Linked DNA regions of Elephas maximus indicus. The protein of the gene in region 2 purifies or fractionates together with the protein of the main gene of each other region. This does not show direct contact. Links are inferred from orthologs where the notes say so. Each region holds a gene or a part of one and is shown on either strand. Other genes may lie near its edges. The genes, in order: RPRD1B and RPRD2.

Region 1 (12,181 bases), on a different chromosome or scaffold from region 2:
CTACTGCAAAGATGAACATTTCTAACTCACTGTTAATTATCAAATTAAAGAATGAAAGATTATGCTATGTTGCAATTTCAGTAGATTCTTGCACTTTATGCTCCTAAACTGAGAATGTCTTTTGAATACTTCAATAACCATAAACAGTCAATGATACCAACTCTACAATCCAGAGGAATCTCTAGGTATACCAATGGACATTTATTTCAAATACAAATACACATTAATGCTATATCAGTATCAAAAATTTGCACACATCTGAAATCCGGATATTCAAAATTATGACTCCCACAAAAACCATAATTCTTCTCTCTTATACATACCAGATATAGTATTTCTTATTACTCTATATGGTATCATATATCAAAACATAAAAACCTCATGCAATATGTCTGAGTTACAGTTGCTTGGGGGAACATTACTGAATGTCCTGGCTTCTATGCACATAACTTCTCAATCATAAAGGTGCATCACCACCCTTTTTGGTCCTAGTTTTCTTTGAAAAGAAGTAAATAAAAACTTAAATTAGATCTTTCAAAACACCTAGTTTTTTCAAATGTAAAACTACCTGAAAAACTCAAGCGAGATCCATGTCAGTCTTTACACACCTGAATAACTAGTCCCTGCTCCGTTTCTCTCAGAAACCACTTTTCTGTTTCTTCTGAAATGCACATAGCATGTGTAAGTTCTGACACAGCAGGCATAAGAGCTGACATTTTAAAATGTAGCTAGTAGCTGCATGAGAATAACCCAAGTAAAAATCAAGATTTTTTAAGGGATATCATAGTTTAAATTGATGTCTTAAAAAGTGCTCATAATATTAAAAATGGATACCCTGTATTGTATTAACCTTCTGGTAACCTAGTTTAGATGGCCAACCGATGAGAATATTGGGAACTCGATGAGAATATTGGGAACACGGAGCTATCTTGCACTGTTCTAATTGTTATTCAAAAGCAGAACAAAAGTGTCACTAGTTAAAATAGCCCACCATTGCTACAAAGGTATGATTATGGCAAAGACTTTAAAAAAAAAAAAAAAAAAAAGCAAACCTTGTTCTGAGAAGTTGTAGTAATTCAAAACATCAAGTTCATAATGCCATGAAAGCTACTGGATTAAGAAAAAAAAAAAGTTTTAACAAAGCAAATCTGACTAAGTGAAATTTCGTAAATTCCATATACTTCATCTTAAAAAATCCAGAATCCAAGAACTAGATGGTGCCTGGCTACAACGGATGACCGCCCTGACAGCAGAGAATCCCTGATGGAGTAGGAAGGAGAACAGCGGGATGCAGACCTCAAATTCTCGTAAAAAGACCAGACTTAATGGTCTGACTGAGACTAGAGGGTCCCTGCAGGTCACGGTCCCCGGACCTTTTGTTAGCCCAAGACTGGAACCATTCCCAAAGCCAACTCTTCAGACAAGAATTGGACTGGACTATAAGACAGAAAATGATACTGGTGAGAAGTGAGTTTCTTGGCTCAAGTAGACACATGAGACTATGCAGGCAGCTCTTGTCTAGAGGCGAGATGAAAAGGCAGAGGGGACAGGAGCTGGTTGAATGGTTACGGGAAACACAGGGTGGAGAGAAGTATGCTGTCTCCTTAGGTGGAGAGCAGCGAGGAGTACATAGCAAGGTATATGTACGTTTTTGTATGAGAGACTGACTTGATTTATAAACTTTCGCTTAAAGCACAATAAACTACAAAAAAAAAAAAAAAATCCAGAAATCCATATTGTAAAAAGTTAATTTGGCCATTCAAAACCTCATACTTTTTTTGTATTACAAATACAGTATCTGACTAGAGTCAGGTTTTTCACCATCTACAATGTCAATTAATTTCCATCATCCCCAAACTTAATGAAGGGGATTTATTTAGGATAAAACTTTATCCCTCCATCAACAAAAAATTATGGTTGTAGAACATGATTAATGTAACTGATATCACTAAATTGTATAACTGAAAATGTTGAATTGGCAAATGTATTTTACAGAGAGATAAAATCAAACTTGTTGCCATCAAGTTGATTCCGACTCACAGCAACCCTATGTGTAATTTTTTTTTTTTTTTTTTAACAATTAAAAAACCCTGCTGGAAGGACATAGGAATATAATAAAAGTGGTTACAAACAGGGTATGTGTGGAGTGGGAATAGGATAGACATGGACATGGGAAGCAGTGACATCTTTTAATGTACAGCTTTCTATGCCATTTTGATTTTTGACTGAGAATTATCTACTTTCTTAAATTAAATTTATCTATTAAAAAAACCCTTACTCCTCCACATCTAGCATGTAACCGTCAACATAAACACTGTGTATGTAAAGGTGATACAACAAAGCACTAGAGCACTTGAACTCATGCATTCATAATACACACAACACATACACCACATTCCTCCACTCCAGCCCTGGGTGACAACTCACTCGTTCAGACGTCTTTTCAATATGACAAAAGAGGTCCTTTCATTCTCCTACTTATGCTCATTCCAAATTGGTTGAACTAGTTGTTGAGCAAAGTATAAACAACTGGCTGACCAAAAATTTTCACTTGGGTGGTTGTTTTGACATCTAAAGAAAGTTTTACGGTAATTTTGGAAAAAAGCCTATGTATCTGCATTCAGGCTAGGATACAAAAACACCATTAAAATATGTTCATCTAAGACCATTCTGCACCAAACTACTTCATGAAGAACAAGAGACATTCGACTTAGAACTGAGCCCAAAGGAATAAATTAAGAATTCTTCCTAGGAAACTGGAAAGAAAGTAACACATCAGGAATAGAAGGCGCGTTTAAGTGAGAAACAGTGATTTCTGGAAGTCTGGTAAATATTTTGAAAGCAACTCAGAGTCAGTCAGTGAAAAACTTACATAAAGAAAATGACCATAAACAGAAATGTCCACTTCTTAAAGAATCAGGGTGGCCTAGAATCTAAAAGGCCAGTCAGTTTGAACATTAGAACAGAAAATCCTTTTCCACTTTAGTGTGAGGGCATTTTCAATTCACAAAGCAAGCCTGCGTATTAGGAAGTTGCATCTTGATGCCTGGATGGAGCTTCCTCTAGTTCTGCACTGTCCAATATGGTAGCCACAAGCCACATGTGGCTATTTGAGATGGACTGAAATGCTACCTAACACGATCCTGCTGAGGCAATACACGTTTGCCACATCTCAGCACAAGTTACATGAAGGAGGCTCTGGCAGCCCCAGGCTCTACCCCAGTGCCCAGAGGGCTGAGGGGATCCCGTACAGGCCATGATATTCTGGAGTCTCTGCTAGTAGGCTAGAACTGAGTCTGCTGGGGCCGGGGAGGCTCCAAAATTTGGGTTTTGGAGCTTGCCAACCTGACATAGTCTCACCAGCTCTAAGGCCTCGGAAATACCACTTAGCCACTCTGAGCTTCAGTTTCCTCATCTGTAAAGTGGGGAGATACCCTCCACCTCACAGGTAGTAGAGAACACAGGTAAAGTCACTTTCTCTGCTGTCTAGGCTGTCCAGTATAACTCTTAAGCGCCCGTACCATCTCCTCATCCTTCTGTTATGGCACTCACTGGGGTATCAGAGGTGTAGGTGTCCACCTTTCCCCACCAACTGTAAGCAACTTAAGACGAGGACTCTGCCTCACACTGAATAATCAACAGTCCCATCTCACCACAATTAACCAAATGCCTTCACTGTGTCTGACACCACACTAAATGCTCATCTGGATTATTTTGTTTACCGCTCACCACAAGTTGTTGTTTCAGCATCAGTTTTTCCTCATCTGCAAAGATCCTACTTTATTTAAAAAAAAAAAAAACAAACATTGCCACGGAGTCGATTCCAACTCATAGCAACCCTACAGGACTGAGTAGAACCACTCCAAAGGGTTTCCAAGGAGAGGATGGTAGATTCAAACTGCCTGCCTTTTTGGTTAGCAACCATAGCTCTTAACCACTGCGCCACCAAGCCACTTCCTACTTCATAACCCATCGCCGTCAAGTTGATTTCAACTCATTGGGACCATACAGGACAGAGAAGAACTGCCCCATAGGTTTCCAAGGAGTGGCTGGTAGATTTGAACTGCCAACCTTTTGGTTAACAGCCTAATCCTTAACCACTGTGCCACCAGGGCTCCTCCTACTTCATAGGACTCTGAGAATTAAGGAAACAGAGAGACAAGGAGGGTTAAGTTATTCGTATTAGTAAGTGGCAAAGCCAGGCTTAGATTCCAAGCTCTTAGGCTGTGGGGCTAACATACCGTCAAGTGCCCAACCCAGTACTAGGCTGAGCTCAGTGATCTTGAGCAGGGTCTGGAAACTATGGCAGCTGCATGAAAGGAGGGTCCTGAGAGGTAAGGGCTAGTGATGTGGCCCCTTAAACTCTCTAAAATGCTGTTCTGAGGACTGAGCACAAGGACATATATAAAGATCTTAGCATAGTGGCTGGCACAGAATAAAGGCTCTGTAAGTCACAGCTAAGCTTGCCTCCGTTTTATGGATGAGGAAATGAAGGCAAAGAGAGCCCAACATCACTCAGCTAGCAAGTGGTTGGGCCAGGCTCCATCTAGGCAGCTTGACTCCTGAGCCTGCCGACTGTTACTCTGAATGCCCAGCACAGAACCTGGCATATTTAACAGGCTGGCGCCAGTACCCTCCATCGGGCGCTGAAGGCAGCCGAGAAAGTAACATTTAAAAGTGTGAAGAAAATTCTGCGGGGGGAAAGGCTTAATGAACTGGGAGTCTGGGTAGCTGGGCCCTGGTCAGTGGGACCTCGGACAAATGCCTTACACTTTCCTGGGCCTCAGTTTCCCTCTCCGAGAAATGGGGATAACACTATCTCCAGCCTCAGAAGCCCGTGTCTGGAAGGCAAGACTCAATTAAGCAGTAGAGGAGCCTAGGGAGAAGGTGGGGGAGAGAACAATCCGGGATTGAGCCAAGGGGGCGGGGAAGGGGTGTTTACCTTTGCGGAGCTCGCGGTGCCACACCGAGACGATGGGCCCCGCGTGCTTGCGGTGGTGAATGAGCCACAGGGACAGGGTCTGCACGCTCTGCTGAGAGTTGCTCAGCTCCGAGAGCTTCTTCTCTAGAGCTGACTCGGAGAAGGAGGACATGGCGGCGACGGTGAGGGCCGGCAGGGAGCGGCCTGGGCCGCCCAGTGCGGCAGGAAGAGCGACGGCACGAGGCCGAGGCCTCACCTGACAGACTGCCGGACTCTTTACTGACTGACAGATGACTCGGGTGGTAGGTGGGAGGAGGGGATGGGTCACCGCAGTAACAGCCGCCCGCGCAGCCGCCACAAGATGGCCACCCGACCTCTCACCCCGCCGCGAGAGCAGGGTCAAGGGGCAAGAGCCGGAGTAGTTGGGCACCCAGAGGCGTCCGGAGCTGTAGAGAAAAGTCTTTCCAGGACCGGCAGCCTCTCCGAACGTTGCTCAGGGCACTTCGAAGGCGATAAACCCGGCGAGAGGAATCTGTTTCTCGGCTCCCGGAAGGCGCTGTAACCGCTCGCGCCCGTACGCCGGCGCACTGAGTACCGCCGGAACCCTGTCTCCCGCGCCCGCGGAACCTTTCTAGCGCTGTGCGGCGCATTCGTTATAACGTCACTTCCGTCGGGGCGGAGGAGGAGGGAGAGTAAGGGAAAGACTAGAAGACGAGGTAAGGGAAGAGGGGCGAGAGCCGCTGGGAGCCCAGCCGAGTGGGTTCCGGAGAGGGGCCTTGTGGGGACACCAAGGCTGAGGGATCATGGCCTAGGTATGGAGGGAGGGTTTCTTCTTTCACCCGCCAAGCCCCAGGCCGCACTTTCTCTCTGTACATGTCCAGCACTGTGACCGCCGCTTAAAAAGCTTTGATTCCTCCAAGCCACGCACGTGCGCTTTCACCCTTCCGCGCCTCGGCTTTTGTTTTTCTCTCTCCAAAGGTGACGCCGTCTTTCTCACCTACTCAGCCGCCAGGACCCACTCTTTAATGTCCGATTCTGTCCCTTTGTGACAGCACTGCCATGAAACACACCTTGTGCTCTCGACTTCTAATTGGTTGCTTCGTTTAGGCAGTTACAGGAAACCTTTGCCCACTGGGGTTCACCATCCAATTGACGTTTTTCAGCTTTAATATGTTAACCTTTGGTGGGGAAGGGAAATTATCTTACCTTCCCGCTGTGTCTGTCAGCCTCCTTTAAGAAACACTCTTCAAGAATTCTTACTCAATTTTTTTAAAGCTTTAAATTCCAGTGAAAGCAGCAAAGTAGTTTGTCTTTGTAATTACTCTGGGGGAGTAGAGAGGTTACTGCCTTAGTTATCTAGTGCTGCCATAACAGAAATACCGCAAGTAGATGACTTTAACAAGCAAATTTATTCTCTCACAATTCAGGAGGCTAGAAGTCTGAATTCAGGGCACCAACTCCAGGTTGGAAGGCTTTCTGTCTGTCAGCTCTGGGGTAAGGTCCTTGTCATCAATCTTCCTTTGGTGTAGGAGCGTCTTAGCACAAGGAACCCCAGTCCAAAGGACGTGCTTTGCTCCTAGCTCATCTTTCTTGATGGTAATGAGGTCCCTCTCTGCTCAATTCTCTCTTTTATATCTCAAAAGATTGACTCCAGATATAACCTAATCATGTAGATTGTGTCCTGCCTGGTTGACATAACTTCCTCCAATCCTATAGAGGTTAGGATTTACAACACATAGGATAATTACATCAGATCACAAAATGGAAGACAACCACATAATACAGGGACTCATAGCTTCGCTAAGTTGACACACATTTTGGGGGGACAAAATTCAATCTATAACAGTTATCATAGACATAGCAGAATTTTAAGGTTTTCCTTTTTTTTTAATTGTGTTTTAGATGAAGATTTAAGAACAAACTAGCTTCTTATTAAACAGTACACATGTTGTTTTGTGACATTCACTTACAACCCCACCACACCCTCTCTTTTCAACCTTGGGTTCCCTATTGTTACCTCCTGCCTTCTAATCGTTACCTCTGGGCTGGTGTGCCCCTTTGGTCTCGTTTTGTTTTATGGGCCTGTCTAATCTTTGACTGAAGGGTGAACCTCAGGAGTGACTTCGTTACTGACCTAAAAGGGTGTCCAGGTGCCATACTCTCAGGTTAAGGTTTTCTTGATCACCGTGGAACTTCACAGTTGTGGGCAGACCGCAGTTTAGGAGACTTTCTTCTAGTTGGTGCCTCTGTTTTTTGCTCTTACTGTCACTGTATTGTAGTTCTTTGCTTAAATGCCTTTATCCCTTTTCCATACTAAACATGTTGCTGTCGAGTTGATTCTGACTCAGTGACCTATAGGACAGAGTAGAACTGCCACTTAGGGTTTCCAGCCTGTAATTTTTTTTTTGTCCTTTAGATGAAGGCTTACAAAACAAATAAGTTTCTCATTAGACAGTACACATACTGTTTTATGACATTGGTTAACAACCCCACGACATGTTAACACTCTCCCTTCTCAACCTTAGGTTCCTTGTTACCAGGTTTCCTGTCCCCTCCTGCCTTTTAGTCCTTGCCCCTGGGCTGGTGTGCCCCTTTAGTCTTGTTTTGTTTTTATGGGCCTGTCCAATCTTTGGCAGAAGGGTGAATGTCAAGAATGTCTTCATTACTGAGCTGAGTTGAAAGCATGTCTGGGGGCCATACACTCAGGGTTTCTCCAGTCTCTGTCAGGCCAGTAAGTTTGGTCTTTCTTTTTGAGTTAAAATTTTATTCTATATTTTTCTCCAGCTCTGTTCGGGACCCTCTCTTGTGATCCCTGTCGGAGCAGTTAGTGACGGTAGCTGGGCACCATCTAGTTGTACTGGCCTCAGTCTAGTGGAGGCTGTGGTAGTTGTAGTCCCTTAGTCCTCTGGACTAATCTTTCCCTTGTTCCTTTAGTTTTCTTCATTCTTCCTTGCTCCGGAAGGGGTGAGACCAGTAGAATATCCTAAATGTTACAAGCCTGTAATCTTTATGGAAGCAGATTGCCGCATCTTTCTCCCACGGAGCAGCTGGTACATTCGAACCACCAACCCTTGGGTTATAGCAGCTGAGCTCGTAACCACTGCTCCACCAGGACTTTTTCTCCGGATTAGAATCATCATAATCGTACCTAACACTTAGTGAGCGCTTGCTGTGTGCCAGACACTGTGTTTACACATAGTAACTCATTTAATTCTCACAGTAAAGCTCTGAGGTAGGTATTGTATTATCCCCATTTTAAGTGACCTGCCCAAAATCACATAACTAAGATTTGAGGGTAGGGACTGCATTTTATCGATCCCTTTGTCCCCAGCACTTGAGTCATAGCTGATTGAATGAATTAATATAGAAGTGGGTAGCCTAAAATCAGACAGTAACTAGTCATAATTGTAAGCTAGGATTTTTGAATCCAAATCTATACACGATTCTATACTGTAACAATCACGTATTGAGAGCTTTTACACCAAGTCACTGTGTATTAAGTACATTACGTATATTTAATCCTTATAGCCTATAGGATGGGGTTATTATTTGATAAATGAGAAAACATAAAGCGTGGTTAAGTAACCCATCCGAGAGTACACAGCTAGGAAATGGCAGAGCCAAGAGTCAGATTAAGATTATCTGATGTGTGATCCCAGATTCTTCATTCCTGAGCCACTGGTTCATTCATTCATTCAGCAAATAAATTTTGAGCACCTATGTCTGAATCGGAAACCCTGGTGGCATAGTGGTTAAGTGCTACAGCTGCTAACCAAAGGTTTGTCAGTTCAAATCCACCAGGCGCTCCTTGGAAACCGTATGGGGCAATTCTACTCTGCCCTTTAGGGTCATTATGAGTTTGAATTGACTCAAAGCAGTGGGATTGGTTTTGGTTTAGAGGTGCATCAGAAGAAAGGCCTGTTGCTCTACTTTTGAAAAATCAACGATTGAAAACCCTATACAGCACAGTTCTACTCTGACACACGTGAGTTGCCATGAGTCCGAACTGACAGCAACTGGTACTGATAATAGTTAATATGGTTATTCAGGTATTCCATCTCATATTGTGTGAGTTATAGTAATTTGTATTTTTCAAGGAGTTTGCCCATTTGCTCTGTCTCTTAGTGGTCGGTTATGTGTATAAAGTTATTTATAGTATTCCCTTATCTTTTAGACATCTGGAAATGTCTTGATTTCCTCTTCATTTCTGATGAACATTTTTGCTGGGTATAGAATTCTGGATTGACAGTTTTTTTTTTTTTTGTTTAAGTACCTGAAAAATATTGTGCCACTTCCCTCTGGCCTAAATGATTTCTAATGATAAAAGTACTGTCATTCAAATTGTTTTGCCCCTATTAGATGTCATTTTTTTCTGGCTGCTTTCAGGACTTTGTCTTTAGTTTTCAGAAATTTAATTATGAAGTGTATTGATAGTGATTTCTGGGAGTTTATCCTGTTTGGGGCTCACAAATCTTCATGAATCTATAGGTTTACATCTCTTTCCAAATTTGGGAAGCTTTCAGCCATTTTTTCTTCAAGTACTTTTCTCAGCCAGCCTTCTTTTCTGCTCTGAGAACTCTTAGATCTTTCATTTGAGCCTCACGGGTCTTCGAGACTCTGCGTTTGTTTGGCTTTTCAGTTTATGTTTTCTGTCATGTTCAGATTGGGCAATCTCTATTGTTCTGTCTTCCAGTTCACTGATCCCTTCCACCGTGCCCTCCATTCTGCTGTTGACTTTGTCACTGAGCTTTTTTGTGTTACTGTATTCTTTAGTTCTAAAATTTCTATTTGGTTCTTTATATCTTTTGTTTCTTCACTGAGGTTTTCTGTTTTTTCATTTGTTACAAGCATGTTCATGATTGTTTATTGAAGAGTTTTAATCATAGCGTCTGTAATATTTTTGTCAGAGAATTCTAACATCTCTGTTGTCTTGGTGTTGACATCTATTGATTGTCTTTTTTTCATTCATTTTGGGATCTTCTTTGTTCTTGTATGATGAATGATTTTCAGTTGAAACCTGGACATTTTTGTGTTTTGTTGAGATTCTGGCTCTTATTTAAACCTCCCGTTTTAGCTGGTTTTCTCTGGCACTGCTCCAGTAGCGGAAAGGGGGCCTCATTACTGCCAGGTGGAGGTGGAAGTTCAGGTTCTCCACCCACCCTCTACTGACACCCAAGGTGAAGGGGGCTTCTTGTTACTGCTGGGCAGAGGTGGGTGTTCTGACTCCTCATGTGGTCTTCACTGATACTGCAGTGGTGGTGGGGGTGAGGGTCCCTGTGCCTTCTCTGGCACCACCTCGGCGGGGGTGTTGGGGCACCTCATTATAGCTGCATGAAGGTAGAAGTCTACATTCTGCACTGAGCCTTTTTTGGTACAGATTGGGGTGAGCCTGCCGTTTATTTCTGTGGTGTTTGGCTGAAGTAAACCAGTTACTGTCTAAATGTTTTCTGTCTTGCTAGGCTGTGCTTTCCTGGTCCTTTGGCTAGAAAGGGAAGGCTTTTGGGGGGGCTTCTTTTGTCTGCACCTGTTGGTGTTTGGGGTTTCCAGCTTCTTCAGTTCCAAGCCTGAGATATATGAGGTAAAAATAAGCCCAGGGAACTCACCACCAGGTTATTTCTCGGTCCTGAGGCCCCTAGCCAATTTATTTTCTTCCCACATTTTAGAGTCTTAGGTTTGTTTTCCATATAACATCCAGTGTTTTTAGTTGTACTTAGTGGGAAGATAGGAAAAAGTACATCTACTCCATCTTCCTGGAAGCGGAAGTCCTCTGTTTATTTTATATAGATACATGTGTCCTAGAGAGTTTATTTCGATTTCCAGTGCCAGGGCATAATTTGGGGGTGGGGACAGCACTATCATATGTGTTTTTTTTTTTTCCAAATAAAAGGTCACACATATTTATTACTGAATCAACATATTAATGCCAAAGCATAAGAACAAAGGAAGAAACTAGAATTTTCCCAGTACAACATGTTCAATTGTTCAGATAGTGGTGGAATTTTCCACTTGATATGGTAAGATGCTAGTGAACTTGATAGAGCGTAACTCTGTGTGCCATCACGTGTGACCCTTATAGACCCAGGTTGGTTCTTCTCCAGTGTCTCTTGTTGGAGTCATGCCTGATTTTATTACCAGTTTTCATTCAAATCCACTGGGGAATGGGACAATTCTGCCTCTGTTTCTTGGCCAGGAATCTCTTGACCCTGAGAGTCTTCTGAGAAGACCTGGTGAGGATGGGAGGCAGCCATACACACAAAGATGGCAGAGAAGGGGAGAGAGCTATCATATGTATTGTGATGTACACCTTTGGTTAAGAACCACTGTTGTAGAATATACTGCCTCCCAAAGAGCCTCTGGTCTAAGGGGACAGGTACATGGTATAAGTTTAATACAAGGCAGTGTCACAAGCCTTCTATAGAGGAGAGCTGTAAACAGTACTAAGTGAGCCTAGAATAACCTAGTTCTCACAAGACAGGGGAGGGGAACTAGGACTGGAAGGCTTTATGGGAAGTCTCCTGATTCCCCTCCTCCGTATTCTGTCATATGCATTTACTGTTCTGCAGTGCCCTCCTCCTTGCAGGCCTAGACCCTCTGCTTAACTTTGTATCTCCCTTCCCTCTTAAGAGCTTAGCACAATGTATGGCTCCTAGAATATGCAAAGGAAACATTTCTAAGTAGAAGGAGGGATGGCTAGGAAGCAACAAAACTTCAGGGTATGCCAAAGGTTTAATGTTTATCTATCTTCTTTTACTTGTTTATTAAATAAATATTTAGTGAGTGGGAACTGCTTGGCAGACACTGCACCAGATGCTGGGGAAACCACAAATAAGGCTGCAGCAGTTAAGCAGTGTACCATTTGGTTGGAGAGACAAAATAATTTTACCCCAAGACAGTAGTCCTCCAGCTCACTGTGAACGCTACTACCAGATGGGTTATTGAGCATGTACGTCTTTCATCAATGACTCTTGCTCCAGAGCGAGAGTATGTGTGTATGTAGAGTGTATATAGTGCAGGATTCTCAAACCTGACTGGTCGTCAGACTGACCTTGTGAAATTTTAAAATCATAGACCCAACCATGACACCCCCTCGCCTCAAATACTGATTCTGATTCAGTAGATCTGGTGTGGGCCCAGGAATCTATATTTAAATGGTTTCTTCTTGATTCTGATAAACAGGTTTGGAACTTTTGAAAGAGTACATATAGCCCTTGGAGTCAGACAGGCTTGAGATGAATCCATGTAACACCTGATTGCTGTGTG
Region 2 (12,604 bases):
CACCACTGCAACCATGAGTAAGTTACTTAGCCGCCTGGTGCCTCTGTTTTCTTATCTGTAAAATGGGGGTCATAATAGTACTTCAGCGAGTTGTTGTGAAGATTAAATGAATTAATACATGTAAAATTACTAGACTAGCGCCTGGCACACAGTAAGCTCTCAACAAAAATTAGCTGTAAAATTATTACCACCTTCATGGTCCACCTAAGGATCCTGAGATCCAAACTGAGAAGCCATTGTCATAGGTCAAAAATGGTAACTGCACTTTGCAAATTCTCTGCAACAAATAAATCTTGTATGAAGAACTTTTTTTCTAGTCCAGGTTCACATAACAGTCTCTCTTATGGAAAAAATACCAGATTGTACTTAGATTTGCTTCAAAGTAATGTGGTGGGGAGAGAATATATGGGACAGATGAAAAATGTTTGTCCATGAAGTTGATAACTATTGAAGTGATATGATCGGTAGAAGAGGGGGTGTCATTACTTTTTGATTTTTGTACATATTTGAAGTTTGTACCAAAAAGAGGTGGAGGGAAATTTTAACAGATTTTCTGCTCTTTAACTGATATGCAATTACTCTTCCACTTTCCTTTGTGCCCTGGTGGCGCATATGGTTAAGTGCTCAGCTGCTAACTGAAAGGCTGGCAGTTTGAACCCACCCAGCGGCTCTACGGGAGAAAGACCTGAGGATCTGTTCCATAAGATTACAGCCAAGAAAGCCCTATAGGGCCGTTCTACTCTGTTGCGTGGCTCACTATGAGTTGAAATCGACTCTACAGCACCCAACAACAATTTTTCCTTACTTCCCTCTTCCTTTCCTTCAAATTTAGAAGAAGGGCCTGGTTATCTACTTCTGAAAAACCACCCACTGAAAACTCTATGGAACACAGTTCTACTCTGACACACATGGGTCATCATGGGTTGGAATCAACTCGACATTAACTGCTTCCCCCCCTGAAAAAACTCACTTAAATTCTCATATAATCTTCTAAAACAGACCAACCCATTCAATGGTTAGAAACAAGACAAAATGGAGGTGTTACGAACATGTTATTTTCCATTTTATCCTACTAGCTCTTCCGAGCACTTGCTGATTCATAACAGAGATATCAGTCCAACTCAACTGCTACTGACTGGGAACATAATTTCCAGCACTTCCCAAACAGAAGCCCTGGTGGCACAGTGGTTAAGAGCTCAGCTGCGAACCAAAAGGTCGGCAGTTTGAATCTACCAGACACTCCTTGGAACCTCTTATGAGGCAGTCTACTCTGTCCTATAGGGCCACTGTGAAATGGAATCCACAAGACAGCAACAGGTACGGGTACCCAAAACAAAGTTCTTCTACAATTATTTTAAATACTCAGGATCTTACGACTACTTGTATCCACATCATCATCACTGTCACTATAAACAATCTGAACGCTTTCCATGTGCCCTATGCTAAAATATATACACTACCTTCTTTAATCTAGAAAGTAATCCTACAAGATATAATTACTATCTTTACTCACAAATGAGGCTTACATAAATCAGATGTAGTGTCACCTAGGTATTAAGTGATAGAGTTAAGATCCGAACCTAGGTCTTAAGTGTAAAATCTGTGTATTTCCACTTTTCCATAACGATTCCCATTGTACACTAAAAACGAGAGAAAGGAATAAAGTATAGAAATGATAACCTTGCCAAATTAAACATCATGTCCATATAAGAGCCATATCCTGAACCTGCTGACAACCATGCCAATCATTTCTTCCACTAAGTTATAAATGTCTCCTTCCAATAAGCAGAAATCAAAACAATTCTGTTCTTCAAGTTCTTGATTAACTATTTTAACAAAATAACATTGGCAAATATTTACCGATTGCATACCGTGTGACTAGCACTATTCTAGTTGCTTGAGGATACAGCAGTGAACAAGACAGTCGAGAAAGACAAACGATAAAAATGTAAACAAAAAAATGAGGTAATTCCACATACTAAAACTGAGGTGATACATAAAAGAGTAATTAAACCAACCACTTGAAATAAGGTGATTACGGAAGGCCTCTCTGAGGAGGTGTTATCTGAACTCAGACCTGAATGAAAAGGCAGGAGATGAAGTCTGAAGTGTACAATCTTGCAGACTCTGATAAAAGAAGTTTAGATTTGAACCCTGTTGCAATGAGACATCACTGGAGAGTTTTAAAGCATAGGAATGACATCTGTTTATGCTACTGAAAGATCTTTGTAGAAAATAACGGTAATGAATGCTTCACCTAAGCAAATTAAAAGAATAATATCAGTAGAACCCACCCATCAAGTATAAGTTCAGGGAGACTACTGGCCTTCTCTAAATTATTTCCTTCAAAGTGAACAAAGATCTCTTATTACACATTATGAAATAAAGGTTAAATGAAAATACCTCCCGAAGAGTTAACACAGTTACTTAAATTCACACTGAGGTCTAAATATAAGTTACTAAATAATGGATGTCAGAAGGAAAAAAAGAGAAGACAAAGTGGCACCAGAAAAACGGACAGAAAGGCTGGGAATGCCCAAGATACTTATTTCACAATTTTCCCTAAAGTTAACTTAGAAACCAGACTCAAACTAAAATAAATCCAACTGTAAATGAAATATAAACTTAAATGAAAATGAGGCCCAATGCATAAATTATTTTCTCTCTGCCCTTTTGCCACTCCCCAGAATACTTCTCTCAAAAGGCTTTATATACAATGAGGCAGATAATGTTCATTAAATGGAAATACAAACCACTATAAATTACCCTTTAAAATAACGATTTTAGGAAGTTAAATTCCACCCTACCAGGAAAACACAGAATTTTAGAAAGCCAAAAGCATGTAACTATAGAAACTATACAGAATGCACTTCAAATGAATGACTGCCTTCCTAGATCAATCATTTTTCACTCTTAAGATATCAACAAGGGAAATAAGCTCAAGCACAATATCAACAACAGCACAAGGGGGAAAATTGGCTTCAGTGTATCTCACTATTATTTCTAACCAGCAAAAAATTACTGTAATTGTCACTGGTGATCCCACTAAAGAGATGGGGACCAAATCATTCTTGCAAATACTGTAACCACATAGTTAATGCACCAGAGACCAAAGGTAAGAAATGTTAAACGTTTGTATAATTTAGTAAAGATGTTTTAAAACAGGATGGAGAATATGTTCTCAGGCTCACATCAGCACTACCTGCTACCATTAGAAAACCAAGTATATTAACGTACTAAGATTATTAAAAAATAATGGTGAAAACACTGTTTTACAAAGGTAAATGTGACCACTGTCATCTAATTGATGGAGTCAAATTCTGATCCCACCATTTTATGGTGTAACCTTAAGCAACTTAACATTTCTGAGCCTTAGTTTCCTCATCTTTCAATTGGTGATTAAAAAATCTACTTCTCACGGTTATTTTACGGAATAATGAGATAGATGTATATGTTAAATGACAATAAAGGACTCGGCACATGGCAGATAATATGTGAGTCTTTGATGATGATTGTGATTAGGACTATCTTTATTTGATATCGCATGTTCTAATTTTACCTATTACCAAGAAAGTATATACGTGCTATATTGATAAAAACAGGTAGTTCTGTCTTGGCTCTACTAATTGTTCAGCATTATTAGTCCAAGAACTACAAAATCTCTCTCCCAACAATAACCTTAAACACAAATCAAAGGGGGGCCTACAGTTTTGCGAGCTTTATCCATCTGTTCCTTGAAAGGTAAACACAAATCAAAACACTACAGGGGCAAGAATAAGTGGATGATGTGCCTCACTGGTGACAAGCCATAGACAGGAAGCAGTTAAAGATATCAAATTCAAATAGATATATATGGAGTTAGGGTTAATGCTCTCTTCTCAGCAGGAAGCACAGTGACTTCTCCACACTTCCCTCCTGTAAGATCTGAAATCTTCTGCAAACGATCCATGTTTCCTGACAGCTTAATAGACCTCTTTTCTGTAGTAAAGCAGCAAAGGGGAAAAAAATTCCACGATGAAGACAAAAAAAGTGTTAACTGGAAAAAAAAAAAAAGTACTATATACTCTAAAAGCACATATCCTGTTTTACCTATGAAATTAATTTCAATGTCTAAAAAAGGAATTTAAGATTAATAAAAAGTAGCTGATACGGTTTACACTAAAATGTAAAAGTATTAGTAATGATAGTGACTATAGTATTGCAGTTGTTTCTGGTCAGTTATGAAAAACCTGTATTTAACTTCCTAGGTGGTCACCTCAGCCCTATTTGGAGCTCGTGTTGGTTTTTCTTAACATTCAAGCAGGTAAGGCCTTCCTTATCACACATCACAAGTTTTAGACCAGAGGAAAATAGAGTGGTAGGTGAATTTACTACCGCTTAAACCATAGCTTTTCTCTCATCAAAAAACTCAGAAATTATTAACACGTCAAGGCCTTCAAGAAATAAACGGACGCGACAATTTCCGTGAAGGTTCAGTAAAGTCAACGGCACACCTTACAAAGATCTCAAAGAATACGGAAATCGCTATGGATCTGGGCCCAAGTGCCCAAGGTCACACCAAGCCAGAAGCTAAAAAATTCAAGAAACGAGCCTCCTGCAGTTTAGGAAAACCCTGACTAGGAATGGAGTCTGGGCTTGGGAACACTCGGGTCCAAGCTTGAATGTGAACCACCCCAACCGAATGCAGCGGCTCCGTGGGAAAAGCCCAAGCGTTTCGGACAGTAGTATCTCCTTCCATTTCCCCAGTCTTCCCTTCCCAGTCACCCCCCAACACTCACATCTCCGAAGCCACTTCATCCAATGGTAGACGATAGTACTGTGGTGTTTCTTGTTCTCTATACACCAAGACGACAAGCCTTGAATGGATTCCATAGTGTTGGTTACCGACTGGAATTTTCGATCCAACGAGGACTCCAGAGCCCCTGCCGAAGAGGCCGACGAGGAGGAGGCCTTACTGCTGCCTCCGCCGCCGCCGGCCGCCATCTTCCCGGTTTGCACAAGCGCTGCTGCTCCTCCGGCGGCGGCGGCGGCGGAGGCGGCGGCGGCGACGGCGGCAGCGGCGGGAGCGGGCAAAACAATCACTGCGAGTGCGTGAAAGCCGTAGGTGGGGAGGGAGGCCAGGGGGTGGGGACGGTGCACGCGCTAGGTTCTTCCGGAGGTGCGGACCGGAGGACCAGCTGCTGGGCACGCTGGCGGCTCCTACACGCTGCAAGGAGGGGCTGCAGGTTTCGAAGGTTTATCAATATTGTTCAAGGGGTCGTGTTTAAACCAGTCAGTAATCACGGAAGAATTACGCAGAAAACAGGTCCTGCAAAGCCTTTCCAAACGCCTGGCCTCGAAACTAATGGTTTTATATTCTTCGACTCTCAACATTAAGGACCTTCCCCACCCCTATCCCCATAATCCTGTGAGTAGGGGCGGGCGTTAGTATCTCAAATTCAATACTACCCGAGTGGCCCCTCTCAGCTAGAGAAATCTTTCTCCTTTAGATCCCCAAGCACAGAAAAGGCCCAAGGCTACCTAGTCAGGATTTTTTTTGCAACGCAACAGCCGCAAAAGGACAGCAACAGTATAGCGCACGCGCTGCTTGGCCCCACCTCTACACCCCCGCTTCCTTCTCAACCTAGAAAACAGAAGACGTGATGGCGGGGCAATCTGACCAATCAAAGAAGAAGAAGGAGAAGCGCGCGCAGTAGCCCGCAAACACCAAAGGCAAAGGTGGCGCTGCGAGTATTTGTGCGCCTGCGCAGCAGCTCAGTGAGTAGCAAGCGGGCAGGGAGAAAAAGCCGGGAGGGAAGGGTAAAGGGAGTTGGTCAAGTTGAGGAGCGGCTTCGGGGAGGGGCTCCACCACTCCTCCCCGTCTTTTGCTCCCTGGCGGGATCACTTTCTCGAGGCTGTTCAGCTCACGGGACAGGGCCCCCACTGTTTAGCAGCTACTGTTATTGTCCGGCAGCTGCAGGCCCCGCCTCTGCTAACTCCACGGAGCAACGACACAGGGCAAAGCGACTGCCAGCCATCTTGCGGCGCCTCAGATGATGCGCATGCGCCACTTCATCGCGCATTCATTACGCCGTCTCCTAGACCAAACGATATTTCGCACTCCCCTTTGGACTATACCATTCACAGTCACTTGACCGTTTGGATTGTAGGAAGAATAAAGTGAAACATTTCCCCTAAAGTTTTTGAAACGAGGAAAGGATAAAAGACAAGATGTGACCTCGCTTTTTGCCAATTATAATACAGTCTCATAATTGCATGATACATTATAGTTTTCAAGAATCTTAGTCTGATACCGTTTAGAACAACTTCAGAATAAGCTTCCCTTGTATCTGCATATGTAAACTTCTCTGAGCAGAATTGGTGCTCTTGTGTTTCCACTGGAGTCCGCGTCTGTTGCAAATAGTCAATGAGCTCAAATTCTCATAAGACCAGACTTAATGGAAGGACCCCGGTGGTCATGGCCACCAGACCTTCTGTTGCCCCAGGACAGGAACCATTCCCGAAGCCATGGACTGGACTGGACAATGGGTTGGAGAGGGATGCTGGTGAGGAGTGAGCTTCTTGGATCAGGTGGACACTTGAGACTAGGTTGGCATCTCCTGCCTGGAAGGGAGATGAGAGGGTGGAGGGAGTTAGAAGCTGGCGAAATGGACACTAAAAGAGAGAGTGGAGGGAGAGAGCGGGCTGTCTCATTAGGGGGAGAGTAATTGGGAGTGTGTAGCAAGGTGTATATGGGTTTTTGTATGAGAGACTGACTTGATTTGTAAACTTTCACTTAAAGCACACTAAAAATTATAAAAAATAAAAAAGAAAGGCCTGGCAATCTACTTCTGAAAAATCAGACATTGAAAACCCTATGGCACACAGTTCTACTCGGACACACATGGGGTCGCCATGAGTCAGAATTGACGGCAACTGGTTTTTTACTTTACTACTGAACTGAACTGTCTAAGATACATGTGCCAACAATTCCCTTTCATGGTTTGAACTAAAGTTGGATTTTTCTATTACTTGTTTCAAAAACGTTCTAACGAATACACTCATATAAGCTCATATGAGCTCATACTACACTTGCTGAAAAGCTATCAGTAGAATATGCAGATTTAAAAGCCTTCACAAGTTATATTGGGAAAAGGTCAAATCAACATTAAAATCATGAACTTAAAACAACTGATTTTTTTTTAATGGATTAAAATATTCCCCAAATTTTTGTATGTAATTTTTTTATTCCCAATTTGGTTTTGTGCAACCAGAAACTAGAATTTGCTTCTGAGTCACAAAGAGAATCTGTGACTGACCTGGAATTTTTAACGAATCAGGAACAGTTAAAATTCATAACTCACATGGTTTAAGTCATTAATAATGCTTTATGTAAACACCACCTAATTATAGCAAAGAAACTTAGAGGGCATCCCTACAAAGGGTTAAGAACCTAGTCTTGGGAGCTACATCTTGGCACTGATCCTGAAGACCTATGTGGCTTTAGATCTCTTATTCAGCCTTCTAAATGCTAGTTTCCTCAGTTTTCCCCTACTAAATCTGTAAAATGGAATCGATAAGATAATAACTAACCCACTGGTATTATGAGAAGAAAAGCTCACCTAATGTAAGTGCTGAATAAATGCTGGCTGTTGTTAAAAAAAAAAAAAAAAGTCAATGAGCTCAGCCTCTAACTAATAGGTTGAAGGTTTGAGTCCACCCAGAGGCACAGTCTAAGAAAGGCTTGGAGATCTACTTCTGAAAAATGAGCTATTGAAAACCAAATGGAACACATGAGTGAGTAGGAGTTGATTAAGGGGCACTGGTTTTCTTATGTTCCCACTGAACATCTGCAATTATTGTGTTTTAATTTTTTGTATGTCTCCACACTAGACTCTCATGTTTCTTTAGGCAGGGAATCTGTTAAATTCATATTTAAGCCCCCCCCCGCAAAAAAACCCATTGACATCCAGTGGATTCCAACTCATAGCGACCATATAGGCTAGAGTAGAGCTGCCCCATAGGGTTTCTAAGCCCGTAAATCTTTACAGAAACTGTCACATTTTCTGCCATGGAGCAGGCTAGTGGATTTAAACCAGGCAGTTAGCAGCTCAGCACTTAAACCACTCAGCGACCAGGGCTCCTCCAATTCGTATCTTAAAAAAAAAAAAACGTTGCCCTCTAGTGGATTCCAACTCATATCTAACCAAAGAAAAATACCAAACCCACTGCCGTCGAGTCGATTCCAACTCATAGTGACCCTATAGGACAGAATAGAACTGCCCCGTAGAGTTTCCAAGGAGCACCTGGCGGATTTGAACTGCCGACCTTTTGGTTAGCAGCCATAGCACTTAATCACTACGCCACCAGGGTTTCCTCATCATATCTAGTATTCACTAATTCGGAGCCCTGGTGGCATAACCAAAACAAAAAAACTGGTTGCTGTCAAGTTAATTCCAACTCAGAGTGAGGCTATAGGACAGAATGTAACTGTCCAGTATGGTTTCCGAGGAGCACCTGGTAGATTCGAACTGCCAACTTTTTGGTTAGCAACTGTAACTCTTAACCACTACACCACTAGGGTTTCCCCTAGTAATAAGCAAAAAGGTCAGCAGTTTGAATTCATCAGCCACTTCTTGAAAACCCTATGGGACAGTTTCCGCTCCTGTAGGTTCACTTTGAGTCAGAATCAACTCAACAGCAGGGGATTTTTTAACAGGTCATTCACTAATTCAACAAAAAGTTGTTGCACATCTTTGTGCCAAGTACTGTTCTAGATGCAGAGAGCAAACCAGACAAAATCCCTTCCCTCTGGGACTTAGTGAAGAGAAAGAAAAAAATTAACAATAGACATCTTACTTTGATTTTAAAAGGTTTCTCCTACCCACTAGTCCAAAAATTAACCACAACAGGCTCATCCAAACTGCAAAAGTATGGACTTTTTTTTCACCAGGAACTTTTCTGCAACATTGTACATTCGTCTTTTTGAGGTAAAAAAGGGTAGTCAATAGCTAACCCATTACCTCGTAATTTAATGAAAAAGCCCGGGTTCTTCCTTGATTTTGGTTTCAAGAGGTCTCAAAGCTACAAATGGGTAAAGAGCCAAATTCTCAGGAGTTACTTTTTTAATGCTAATACCAAACCACCAAACCCGTTGCCACTGAGTCAATTAAATGCTAACACCCATGAGCCCGTTGCTGTCCAGTTGATTTCAACTTACGGTGACCCTATAGGACAGAGTAGAACTGCCCCATAGAGTTTCCAAGGACCACCTGGTGGATTTGAACTGCCGATCTTTTGGTTAGCAGCCCTAACACTAAACCACTATGCCACCAGGGTTTTCTAACACCAAAAAACCAAACCCTGCGCTGTCTAGTCAATTCCGACTCATAGTGACCCTATAGGACAGAGTAGAACTGCCCTGTAGAGTTTCCAAGGAGCACGTAACGCTATAGCACTTAACCACTAAGCCACCAGGGTCTCCTAGCACGGTAACCATATAAATATTTCTTCACCATCAGGGCCCGATTAAGGCACTAAACGCTGATAATCTGTGGTACCCCTCCTCTGCTTACTTACGTTTGAATGGGATATATAAGTTATATATACACATATTTTATATATAACATGTATGCGTGGGTGTCTTAGCTATCCATGATGTAACGTCTTTTTAAATGTGACTATGGCACTGGGTTTTTGTTTTTTTTTTTAATAATATTAAAGATTTGAGGCAAAAGTTGCATATGCCATTTCAGCAGAATGAGGTGAACTCCATTATAACATTTTTAGTGGATGTGGGGTACTGTCGTGGATTGAATTGTGTCCCCCCCAAAAATGTGTGTCTACTTGGCTAGGCCGTGATTCCCAGTATTGTGTGATTGTCAACCATTTTGTCATCTGATGTGATTTTCCTATGTGTTGTAAATCCTACCTCTATGATATTAATGAAGCAGTTATGTTAATTAGGCAGGACTCAATTTACAAGATTAGGTTGTGTCTTAAATCAATGTCTTCTGAGATATAAGTGAAGAAAACCAGCAGAGAGACAGGGGAACCTCATACCACCTTGAAAGCAGTGCAGGGAGCAGAACACATCCTCTGGACCCAGGGTGCCTGTGCTGAGACGCTTCTAGATTAGGAGAAGATTGATGACAAGGATCCACCCCAAAGCTAATAGAGACAGAGAGCCTTCCTCTGGAGCTGCCACCTGAATACAGACTGTTAGCCTCCTAGACTGTACCCAAACCCAGTGCCGTCAAGTCGATTCCGACTCATAGCGACCCTATAGGACAGAGTAGAACTGCCCCATAGAGTTTCCAAGGAGCACCTGGCGGATTCGTAGGAGAATAAATTTCTCTTTGTCAAAGCCATCAACTTGTGGTATTTCTGTTATAGCAATACTAGATAACTGAGACAGGTACTAGGATTCTTACAATACATCACATTTTCCCCATGACCACAATTAAGTGTTCTGGAATTCTCATTCTTCACAACGTTATCCATAATTTGATACAATCCACACAGTTGAATGCCTTCACACAGTAAATAAAACACAGGTAAACCTCTTTCTGGTATTCTCTGCTTTCAGCCAAGATCCTTCTCACATCATATCCCTCATTCCATGTCATCTTCTGAATCCAGCTTGAATTTCTGGAAGTTCTCTGTCGATGTACTGCTGGAACCATTTTTGGATTATCTTCAGAAAAATTTTACTTGCGTGTGATATTAATGATAAACCAAAACTAAACCACCCTGTTGCCGTTGAGTCGATTCCAACTCATACTGCCCCTATAAGAAAGAGTAGAACTGCCCCACAGGGTTTTCAGGGAGCGACTGGTGGATTTGAACTGCTGACCTTTTGGTTAGCACCCAAGCTCTTAACCACTGCATTACTAGGGCTCCGATATTAATTTTATATATATATATATATATATATATATATATATATATATATATATATATATATATATATATATATAATTACATCATTGACCAGAACACCTAATGGTGCTTATAAGGAATCTGTAGATCAAGAGGCAGTTGTTCGGAGAGAACAAGAAGATACCGAGTGGTTTAAAATCAAGAAAGGTGTGCATAAGGGTTGTATCATTTTACCATACCTATTCAATTCGTATGCTGAGCAAATAATCCAAAAAGCTGGACTATATGAAGAACAACGGGGTATCAGGATTGGAGGAAGACTCACTAACTACCTGCGTTATGCAGATGACACAACCTTGCTTGCTCAAAGTGAAGAGGACTTGAAGCACTTACTGATGAAGATCAAAGACCACAGCCTTCAGTATGGATTGCACCTCAACATAAAGAAAACAAAGATCCTCACAACTGGACCAATTACCACATCATGATAAATGGAGAAAAGATTGAAGCTGTCAAGGATTTCACTTCACTTGGATCCACAGTCAACACTCATGGAAGCAGCAGTCAAGAAATCAAAAGACACATTGCATTGGGCAAATCTGCTGCAAAAGACCTCTTTAAAGTGTTGAAAAGCAAAGATGTCATCTTCAAGACTAAGGTGTGCCTGACTCAAGCAGTGGTGGACAATGAATAAGAAAGACCAAAGAACAATTTATGTCTTTGGATTATGGTATTGGTGAAGAATATTGAATATATCATAGACTACCAGAAGAACAAACACATCTGTCTCGGAAACCAGAGTGCTCTTTGGAAGCAAGGATGGTAAGACTTCATTGCACATACTTTGGACTTCTTATCAGAAGGTACTCATCTCTGGAGAAAGACATCATGCTTGGTAAAGTAGAGGGCCAGAGAAAAAGAGGAAGGCCCTCAAAAAGATGGAGTGACACAGTGGTTGCAACTATGGGCTCAGACATAACGACTGTGAGGATGGCACAGGACCAGGCAGTGTTTGGTTCTGTTGTACATGAGGTCGCTATGAGTTGGAACTGACTTGACGACATCTAACAAGAACAACAATAACCACATTTCTGACAGAAGGAATATTCTACATATTCTACAACAAAGAAAATGAGTCCATGAATTTAGTTGTTTGAACGATCGGTGTAAAATTGTTGATCTCCCACAATGAAAAATTGGCTTTCACCAATTTTGCTTTAAATGGCTCCTCTTAGAAAAAAAATCTAATTACCAAAAAAATCTGCGATCTTCTCTTCCTGACAGATGCCACACAGTTATCTCTTTAATTTTTGGTGACAGGGAGCAGTTAAGTGGTTGTCTGTCATTGCAATGATCAACTTATTTGAGTTCCCTCACTTTTGTGCATCATCCGGAACTGGAATTTCCATTTGTTGTCTACCAGGATGTGTACAACAGCATACGCTTGTGTTTGTATCATGGCAAAGAGCATACAAGACTGTTCTCTCAAAATGGGTCAGAGACCTGTTATCTATCAATATAACCAGTCCTTGCCCAGTAACCACTCATATTGGATTCAGTTGCACATTGGGTAAATATAGCAAGAGTTAGACTCAACAGCCCACCCTCACCTCTCGTTTATTAGGAAAAAATGGTATAGTTCAACAGACTTGCCGAGATAAGGAGTTTCAGTTACACCACAGGGGACTATAGGAGACAGATGTCAACAAAAGTATTGAAGTGGCAGGGGTTTCACAGCATAAAC

The links.
Region 1: the proteins of RPRD2 (region 2) and RPRD1B purify together in Homo sapiens (affinity purification with mass spectrometry; 4 studies listed by BioGRID and IntAct, counting the BioPlex papers as one, with this or other methods). This does not show direct contact. The link is inferred for Elephas maximus indicus from reciprocal best matches to the Homo sapiens genes RPRD2 and RPRD1B.

What each region holds. Positions count from the first base shown.
Region 1 is NC_064843.1:31,481,176-31,493,356, forward strand, and holds the start of RPRD1B (regulation of nuclear pre-mRNA domain-containing protein 1B), read right to left. Parts: upstream 5,496-12,181; 5' UTR 5,094-5,495; coding exon 4,943-5,093; intron 1-4,942. UniProt on the Homo sapiens protein: Interacts with phosphorylated C-terminal heptapeptide repeat domain (CTD) of the largest RNA polymerase II subunit POLR2A, and participates in dephosphorylation of the CTD by RPAP2. Transcriptional regulator which enhances expression of CCND1.
Region 2 is NC_064821.1:184,490,363-184,502,966, reverse strand, and holds the start of RPRD2 (regulation of nuclear pre-mRNA domain-containing protein 2), read right to left. Parts: upstream 5,583-12,604; 5' UTR 4,984-5,582; coding exon 4,779-4,983; intron 1-4,778.